2 linked regions of the Rattus norvegicus genome follow. The protein of the gene in region 2 purifies or fractionates together with the protein of the main gene of each other region. This does not show direct contact. Links are inferred from orthologs where the notes say so. Each region holds a gene or a part of one and is shown on either strand. Other genes may lie near its edges.

Evidence for each region.
Region 1: the proteins of Tgfbr1 (region 2) and Smad7 purify together in Homo sapiens (affinity purification with western blotting; 19 studies listed by BioGRID). This does not show direct contact. The link is inferred for Rattus norvegicus from reciprocal best matches to the Homo sapiens genes TGFBR1 and SMAD7.

The regions. Positions count from the first base shown.
Region 1 is NC_086036.1:71,261,840-71,266,433, reverse strand, and holds the start of Smad7 (mothers against decapentaplegic homolog 7), read right to left. Parts: upstream 2,927-4,594; 5' UTR 1,505-2,926; coding exon 892-1,504; intron 1-891. UniProt on the Homo sapiens protein: Antagonist of signaling by TGF-beta (transforming growth factor) type 1 receptor superfamily members; has been shown to inhibit TGF-beta (Transforming growth factor) and activin signaling by associating with their receptors thus preventing SMAD2 access.
Region 2 is NC_086023.1:66,447,675-66,452,232, reverse strand, and holds the start of Tgfbr1 (TGF-beta receptor type-1 precursor), read right to left. Parts: upstream 2,836-4,558; 5' UTR 2,754-2,835; coding exon 2,669-2,753; intron 1-2,668. UniProt on the Homo sapiens protein: Transmembrane serine/threonine kinase forming with the TGF-beta type II serine/threonine kinase receptor, TGFBR2, the non-promiscuous receptor for the TGF-beta cytokines TGFB1, TGFB2 and TGFB3.

The DNA of each region.
Region 1 (4,594 bases), on a different chromosome or scaffold from region 2:
CAGCCCACCTGAGAGGGAAAAAAAAAACACCCAAGTGAGCTGCTGGTGAACTTGGAAGATTTGCAGGGATCAGGGCATGATCCTCTACCCTGAGCACAAAGACAAGGAGCAAACAGAAGGCATGGAAAACCTAACAGGATAATATGGGGAGGAACCTGTTCAGGGTCCCGGCCATGAAGCCCAGGCCAATTATGGTGCAGGGAGGGACGTCACTGAAACGCAGGGGTGGGAGTGTCGGGCGTTCTAAGGACCACTAATTGTACGCTTTTCTGTGCGAAATAAAGATAAAAAAGTAGAGGCCACCCAACTTCTCCAGGCTGTTTGCTCCTTCTCGCCCCGAAGTGTGCACAGCTGAGACTGGATACCCAGTTCAGTCTCCATCCTACCACTGCCCCCAAACTCCAAAGCTGGGAGGCCAGGACAGTATCTGGGCCACTCGTGCCCCACGTGACTGTCCTTATTTACTAAAGGAGAGACTCTCCAGCCTTTAAAGCTAGTTTCTCCCAGCCTTCCTTGGCGGGCTTGGGCCGAATCCAACTCGGCCACACACCTCAACGCCTTTCCGGGTGCGGGGGAAGCGTGATCCCCCACTTTGCTCTGTATCCCCTTGCATACCCGGAAATAAGAGTGTCTCGTTTTCTGCAGCATGTCAGTTCAGTATAAGGCTAAGCAGCAGTATCCCTGGGTCTCTTCCTCTGGAGGGAGGGGGGATGGTGCAAGAGCAAAATCTTGAAAGGGAACCCCAAGGAATGTCAGAGTTTCCCCCCCCTCGTTCCTTCTTTGATTTAGTTCCCTTGTCTCCTCCAGGAGATAATGCACACACCCTCGAGCATTTCTACCAGCATTTCCTCGCCAGAGGGAACGAAAGGTGGACTCAGAACAACTTCTTACCTAGTTCACAGAGTCGACTAAGGTGATGGGGGTTGCAGCACACCAGCTCGGGGTTGATCTTCCCGTAAGATTCACAGCAACACAGCCTCTTGACTTCCGAGGAATGCCTGAGATCCGGCCACCTGAACACTTTGCACAGCAGGAGGGGGAGCGAGTAGGACGAGGGCGGCTGCGCGGGCTGCGCGCTGGCGGGCGCCCCCGGGCCCAGCCTGCAGTCCAGGCGGCCGGGCAGCAGGAGGCACGCGGTGCGCGTACCGCCGCGGGACTCCACGGCCTGAAGCAGCAGCTCCAGCTGCCGCTCCTTGAGTTTCTTGAGCACCGAGTGCGTGAGCGCCTTCAGATCCGCCTCGGCGCCCCCGGCCGCCCCGGCACCCGAGGATGGGGGATGGGGATGGTGGTGACCTTTGGCACCTCGGACTGCCTTACCCAGGCAGCAGCCAGCCCTGCCCGCACCGCCGCCACCAGCCCCATAAGCCCGGCCGTCCGTCGCCCCTTCTCCCCGCAGGTCGCCTCCGCCGCCGCCACCCCCCACGCCCTCCTCCTCGTCCTCGCCGCCGGGCGCACGGCTCCTCCAGAGACGCCGGACGAGCGCAGATCGTTTGGTCCTGAACATGCGGGGCGAGGAGGCGAGGAGAAAAGTCGTTTGCCGGCTAAGGAGCGAACATGACCTCCGCACACCATGAAGAAGTCGGGCGCCGAGTTGGGGCAGCAGGCGCAGGCGACAGCAACAACAGCAGGGGCCCGGGCAGAAGCGGCGGCGGCCCGAGGGGCGCTCCGTGGCATGCGCCAGTCTCCCGGAGGCCGGGGCGCGCGCGGGGGCCCAGGGGCGCCCGCCGGGGATCGGGGGCCTGCGCTTCGGCTGCCCCACCCGGCGCGGCCCGCGCCCTGCGCGGCTCTCGGGCCCCGGCGTGCCCCTGAGGAACGCGGCCGCCGCTTCCCTGGGGGCGGCCGAGGCAGCCCCGGTCGACGCCTCTCCCCAAAAAGGCCCCCCTACAGTGGCTCCCGAGTGTCGGGCTCGCCAGCCTCGGCTTCCTACATGGAAGATCCTCAGGGGCAAAAAACGAAAGACGTTAGGCTGAGCTACTGAAGGGAGGAAAAAGCCTCTTTCCCCCTTGCTAAGCAACTTAATTTGGGGGTGGGGAGAAGCAGGCAATTAAAAAAAAAAAAGGCAGGCACACGATTTATTTTTTTCTTCTATATCCTTAGTAACCGGATCTCCTCGAATTCTGTGCACGCGAAGACTTGAGGGAGGGGGCCGAGTAGACTTCACCCCTCGTGAGATGTCTGGAGGGTCTCTCAAAAACCCCAAAACCAAATATGCAAAGCCCCCAGTGAAAAAACACACCACCTTCTCGCACCTCGGAGGTCTGGAGGGCACCGGATGGAGCCGGGGTTTAAAAAGAGAAAATGTTTACAAAGTAGAACAAGATGTTGGAAGGGTGGGGGGAAAAACCGTATCCACGAGTTACATCCCCTTTTTTTCCTTGCTGAACCCCGCCGGTCTTCCTTTCCTTTTCTTCTGTCAAAAAAAAAAATCGTATTTCTTTTAATCCACAGAAAGGTCTGGTTAGGCTGCTTCAATCTTGCGTATCTGGGTGTTTTAGAGTCTCTGGTCTTTCCTCCTGCGCTCCCGGGGGCCCAGGTCCTCGGCGGGGACTTCCTCCGCGCTGGGGAAGCAGGGACAGAAGATGCTGCGGCGGCGGCTGCGCCCCGGGGGGCTGTCAGCGCGGGGGAGGGCGGCGCGGCGGCGGGCTCCGGCGGGTCGCAAGCTCTCGCCCCCGAGGGCACAGGCGGCAGGCTAGCTAGCGTGGGGGCTGCCGGTGCCCCTTCTCCTGGCCGAGGGTGGTCGCTGGGGCTGCTCGCATAAGCTGCTGGCCCCGACCCGACAGTGGCGGCAGGAGGCCCGGGTGTCCTCTCGCAGCCTCTTCCTCCGAGACTCTCTTCGTCGCGCCCGGGAGCCTCCTCGTCCCCCGTCCGCCCTCTCCTGGCGCTCGAGTCCTTCTGCCGCCGCTGGGGGCTCGCCGCGCCGCACTCAGGGACTCCGGGGCCGAGCGCTCGGCGGCGTGGCGCCGGCTGGCTGGCTGCGTCTCAGGCAGCTCTCCGGCGCGGCGAGCGGACCGAGCGAGGCGCCCGGCTGGCTCTGCTGGCGCTGCTCGGGGACAAGATCCTCTGTGCGCCGAGCAGCGAGCGAATGTGCCCAGGGCTCGCCGCCTCCCGCAAGGCCTCCCGCCTCCGCCCCCTTCCCTCCCCCCTCTACCCCTCCCTCCCCCGCCCCCAGCCGCCGCCGCCTCCTTCCCGCCCCCCCACCCGTCCCTCCGCTCGGCTGGTTCCACTGCGCAGTGGCGCGCCCGGCTCCGGCCTCGTCACGTGGCCGTCTAGACACCCTGTCGCTTTAAAAAAAAAAAAGCGATTGTGTTTCGCAAACAACAGATCGGGTTTCTAAAAGCTATTTCAACCCCCCTCCCAGTTACCGCCACCCTCTCCCAGGTCTACAGAGGGGTACCCACGGGCGGAGGGAGGTGGGAGGCCGAGACGGCCCCGGGGGTCGGCGGAGACCCAGGGGGAGCAGGGGGAAATCGGAAGAGCTGGGGGCGTGGAGCGGGCGAGTTTGGAGCGGAATGAGCCGGTCAGTGGCCCGATTTAGACCAGTGGAGCTCGCCGGGGCGCTTCATTCATTCGTTTTGTTTTAAGGCCCTGGCGGCGGATCCCTTGGAAAGGGGAGGAGATCGCTGTCTGTTTCAAAGACATTTACACCGGCCAGGACAGAGGCCCTGGGAAGTGTGCGCTAGAGGGAACAGCCGGGCGGCCGAGGGCGGAGAGGCGGCGCGAATGTGACCTCAGCGGCCGCCGCGCTCCCTCCCGCCCTCTCCCGCTCCGGGCTCGGGTTTCTAGGACTGCCTGGAGAAGTGTGTCTTGTGCACAGCTCTGGAATGCATTTGGCAGGCTGACGAGCAGCGAGGGGCAGCATCCTGGAGGGAGGAGGGGTGCAGCTCGCCTGCGCGCCGCCGTCAGGTTTCCTCCGGGCTTGGAAGACCTCCGGCACCCGCCACTCGGCCTCCTGGCGCGCGAACGTTACCCAGTGAGCAGACCTGCTTAGAGCATTCAATCGCATGCGGGGCCTACTTGGGGTCAGAGAGTTTTTCCCTTGACCTCAGGTTCCAGAGAAAGCTATCCCCAGATGCAGGTGACTGCTTGGAACTAGAAAAGGTATTTGTCAAGCGAAAGTCCTGTGGGTGCTGGTCTGAGGATAGTACTAGGGTGTTAAATGTGACTGAGACAACTAGTTGGCATGGTGACCCAGACTCACATATTTATTGGGTTTTTTTGAAAAGTCTCTTGAGGGGCTGGGGATTTAGCTCAGTGGTAGAGCGCTTACCTAGGAAGCGCAAGGCCCTGGGTTCGGTCCCCAGCTCCGAAAAAAAGAACCAAAAAGAAAAAAGAAAAAAGAAAAGTCTCTTGAAATTGTAACAGGATAGTAATAAAACTCATGGGGGTGGGGTAAAGATTTTTTACCAAATGTGGACTGTAATTATTTCTTCCAACCGGAATTATATGTTCTGACCAGTAACTTCTGTTTCTAACCTGATAGATACTTTCAAGGGCTGGAAGTATAATTCATTAGAGGTCCTGGGTTGAGTTACTAGCAACTCAAACAAGGTAGGAGTCAAGGTAGGAGTTAGGTCTGCAGACCATTCCCCTACCG
Region 2 (4,558 bases):
CCTGGCTTCCCCTTTGGAAACTCCCTATCCCATCCTCCCTCCCCCTGCTTCTATGAGGGTGCTCCCCACCCACCCGCTCCCCTCCTGCCTTCCCACCCTGGCATTCCCCTACAACACTGGGGCATCCAGCCTTCACAGGACCAAGAGGCCATAGCTTCTTAAACTGAATCCTAACTCCTTATAGAGGTGCTGGGTCATACAACAATCTGGCAATACTCAAGGACTTCTGAATGTATAACACTCCAAATTAATTAAAAATCAAATGAGTAATGAATCTGAAGTGTTTCTGGCAATGCATGCTTGTGTTACATGATGCAACTTCACAACACCCTTGGTTCTAAACACACTTGCTGTCGTGTTATGCAGTGCTAACATTTATTTTTATAAGTTTTAATGTTTTTTATTAAATAAAAAGTTTTCTATTCTTCCAGAAACATACATACAGAAAAGGCTTTCATCCTTCATGTATATCAAAGTGGTATATTTGTGATCGATTGTAGATCGACTGTATTGTGTTAGAATGTCTGATTTTAAAAACTGCTGTTTAAGTTGCTGACTTAAATTTCATTTTAAAAATTATTAAATGAGGTCTGGAGAGACGGCTCAGTGGTTAAGGGCATCGACTGCCCTTCCAGAGGTCCTGAGTTCAATTCCCAGCAACCACATGGTAGCTCACAGCCATCTGTAATAAGATCTGATGCCCTCTTCTGGTGTGTCTGAAGACAGCTACAGCATACTTATATAAATAAAAAATTATTAAATAAATTTCATCTTGTGATTAAGAGAGAATTTTCAACAATGTCTGAAATGGCCCTAAACAATTATATGGAGTCGTTGGCATTGGATGATTTAATTCTTTAAGTAAAAATAAACTCACCCATCTCATTACTATGAAAATGTGCTTGAATCTTTAATAAATAGTAAAATTGTATGTACCAATGAATTGTTTTAAAATAATTTCATTTATGATCTATTATCAGCACATCTGAATTATATACTTGCTTTCTACATTTTGTACTCAAGGTCACGTACAATCTTTTGAGAAAAGAGGATGGCAAACGGGGAAAGTTTATGAAGTACTAGTCTAGGTTTTGAGTAATAAAATCCTCCAGGACACGGACCAACCTTCTCAGCATCTAAGTCAATACTGCTAAATGCATGAACGTGTCTTGCTTTGTTTTAGGTAGAAAAGAATTACTTTATTCAAATAATTGTAGAGATATGGCCACTTATAGTTGGTGAATAATTATAACAATTCCCCCACTTTGTCCACCGTTATTCCCTTCCTAAGCCAATGTCAAAAACCCATGGTATCTTCTAATGAAGACCTTTGTGAAGGGAATGTTCAAGTACTAGGTTGTTCAAGTTCAAGTAAACTAAGAAACTGATGGCTAAGTTCTAAGTGTCAAATATCAACTGTTCTTTAAGTGGGCTATGCTACGGTATAGCAGGTGCACTGATTTTGAGCCCAGAAAGGCCTAAGTACAAATTAATTTCTGCACTTACTAAGAACGTAATCTCCTGCACCTCAGTTTTCAAGTCAATGTACAGGACAAGTACTGGTAGCCCCGAGGGTTCTGTGCCCCGAGATACTGTGCCTTTTACATCTGCATTATAATCAACTCCCAATAAACAGTTACTATTAAGTTTAATAACAGCTGGCATCCACAGTCTGGAGAGATTTTTGTTTTGGTATGCTTTGCTTTTTAAAATGTTATCCAATTTCAGCAACAGACATGTATTTTCACTGTATTTTAGTTGCTAATCTGAGCCTCAGTATTTTGCTTTCTCCTATTTTAATCGGTTCCGGACTAAGTTTTTCAATCTTCCCTCCACGGGGTGACAACCGTATCACGGCCGGTTTTAATATTTTGGAAAACTACACATTTTCCCTTCAAAAGCCAGCTACATAGAGGTCTGATTTTAAGACTACTGCTTAAGGAAACGATACACCCAAAGCAACGATCCCGTCGAGAAAAAGAAATCTTTGATCAATTCTACAGAATCATTCCCATTCAAACGATCCCAAGTCTGCAGAGTGAGCAAACGTTCAAGTTTCTACTAGCAAGGCAATCTTCTGGTTACTGAACTCTCAACTCTTCCCAGACGCACGAAGAGAGAACATTCCGCGCATCTTCGCGCCTGCTTCTCACACAAAGCCCCCGGTTGAAGAAAAGTCGCCCTAGGCGGGCGCCGACACTCACAGCAGTGCGGCCCACCCGGGATCTCTGCCCACGGCGCCCCTTACGACCCTCCGAGGAGCCCTCCACGCGCCGAGCCCCGGAGCGCCTCCACGCCGGTGCCCGCCCACGCCCTAACAGTCTCAGGCCGGAGAGCACTTAGGCAGTGGAATCAGGGGGCCACGGTCCCCGCCGGCCTCACACCCCCGAGGGCAGCCACAGACCTCAGCAGGCTCGCCAGCCGCTGCTCCCGGGAGCCCAAGAGGGCAGGCCTCCGCTCGGTGTTCGGCCACCCGCGCTCGACACCGCCCCCGCCCCGCCTCTCCTCCCCGCCCCGGCTCGCGTGGCGCCTGCCGGGTCAGGAAAGCTCGGCCGGCCCGGCGCCGCCACCTGCGCCCCCGGCCCCGCGCCATGTTTGAGAAAGAGCTGAAGCGAGCCAGAGGCCGGGCCCGGCTCGCGCGCCCCACAGCCACCCGCCCGCCACTCACCCTTCGCCCCCGGGAGCAGCGTCGCCGCCGCCACCAACACGATGAGAAGCAGGCAGCGACGCAAAGCAGCCGACGCCGCCTCCATGGTCCCGCTGCCACTGTTTGTGGCCCGGCCCGGCCCCGGCCTCAGCTTCTCCTCAACAAGCCTCGCCTCTCCTCGCCCCACCTCCCCGCCGCCGCTGCGGCCTCGCTCCGGCCCTTTGTAACTGCTCGAGGGGCGCACGCCCATTGGCTGCCCAGCTCCCGCCGACCCCGCCTCCCCCGCCGCCCGCGAGCGCCCTAGAGGGACCCAGCGGAGAGCCCCGCCCTCGGGGCCCCTGGGCGGCCAATGAGCGGCCCTGGACTTCTGCCTCTAACCACGCCTCCGCACTGCTGGGCCTCTGGCCACGCCCCCTCACCGCTGGGCGCCTATACTCCAGCCACAGCAGGGTAGCTCGTACTCTACCGGCGGGTGGGGGCAGGGTCCAGCCTGCGCGCCCGAGGGAGCCCGCAGTCCGGACTAAGCGCTGGGTGTGCCCGTAAGAGTTGCTCAGGGAAAGACTGTGGACGTTGCTCGCTCTTTTCTTCTACTCCAACCCCACCCTGACTTTCCCTGCACAGTCCTGCACCGGCAAAGCTCAACTATCGCCACTCCGACCCTCAATACGGTCCGCGGTTCAACTTCTTCTCCCTAGACCCGCTCCTCAATTCCCAGCCTCCCCGCAAAGATAACCCGATTTCTTCCCGCACTCTATGGCCGCCCCAGACCTAGTCTTGCCCTCCTCAAATTCCAGTCCCAAAGTCGGAGCCCAGATTCTGAATCCCGAGGCGGAGCTCAGACACACCCCTGAGTGGCCTGTGTCTCTCGGCAGTATAAACAGACTGTGGGTCCCCGCCGCTCTCCTTCCCTCCCACCTTCCTGACCCCGCGTGGAAGCGGAGAGGCCTACGGGTTTTGAATGATGGGGGATTCGGGGCGAAGCGGGAGCAGTCATAGGTACTTAGAGCTGTCTCCGACACGCCTGTGTAATAATTTCGAGGTGTCACTAAAAACCCAAATAAACTCAGCTCCGCTTTCATTCTGAATTCCTAATTTACTGTGAGACGCTCCACCCACCTTCCCTCTGGGATGCCAAAATGAGCTCCAGATTTGTAATTCTTCCTGTCAGACTAGTCCTTTCTTCAGACACAAACACAGTCACGGAGGCGGCCGCATGGCACCGACAGCATTTTTCCGCAGAACCTTTTAAGGAGAAAATTTTATTTTCTGTATGATTTGAACTCGGAATTAAATGAAGCTCGGTAGTAGGAACCAGCCGGCCTCTAGTATCTGTTAGTAAATTGTTTTACAGCCACTCTCCAAGAGTTTGATCCTGCTTATGAAAGCAAACCGTGGGGGTTAGAGCTGGGGTCTGAGACTGCTTCTCGGCTCCAGCTAGGACACGCTTGAGCAAGTCCTAACCTGCCAGAACCTGAACAGGCCTGCTCTCTGGGACTGCAGAACGATCAGTTCCTAGCTCCCCTGCACCGAGGCTACAGAGACTAAATTTGACTAGCTTCTAAGGCAATCTCTCTGAAAGACTTAAAGGGGCTGTCACACCCGAAATCTCCAGTGCCTATCCCCGCCTCACCCCCACCCCCAAAGCCTTGTACTTCCTCGGCAAGTACTCTACTAATAGCTAGGCAAATACTCTCTACTGATAAGCTACGGCCCCAGTTCTTGTTATTTTTTTAAAGATTGGGTCCAGCTCCTATGTGCACCACGTGCATGTAGTGCTTGTGGAGTCCAGAAGAGGGCGTCCAATTACTTGGAACTGGAGTTGCAGGTGGTTGTGGGCTACCCGACAAGAATGCTAAGAACAGAACCACTTCCTCTGCCAGAGCAGTCTCTTAACTATTCACCCATGGCCCC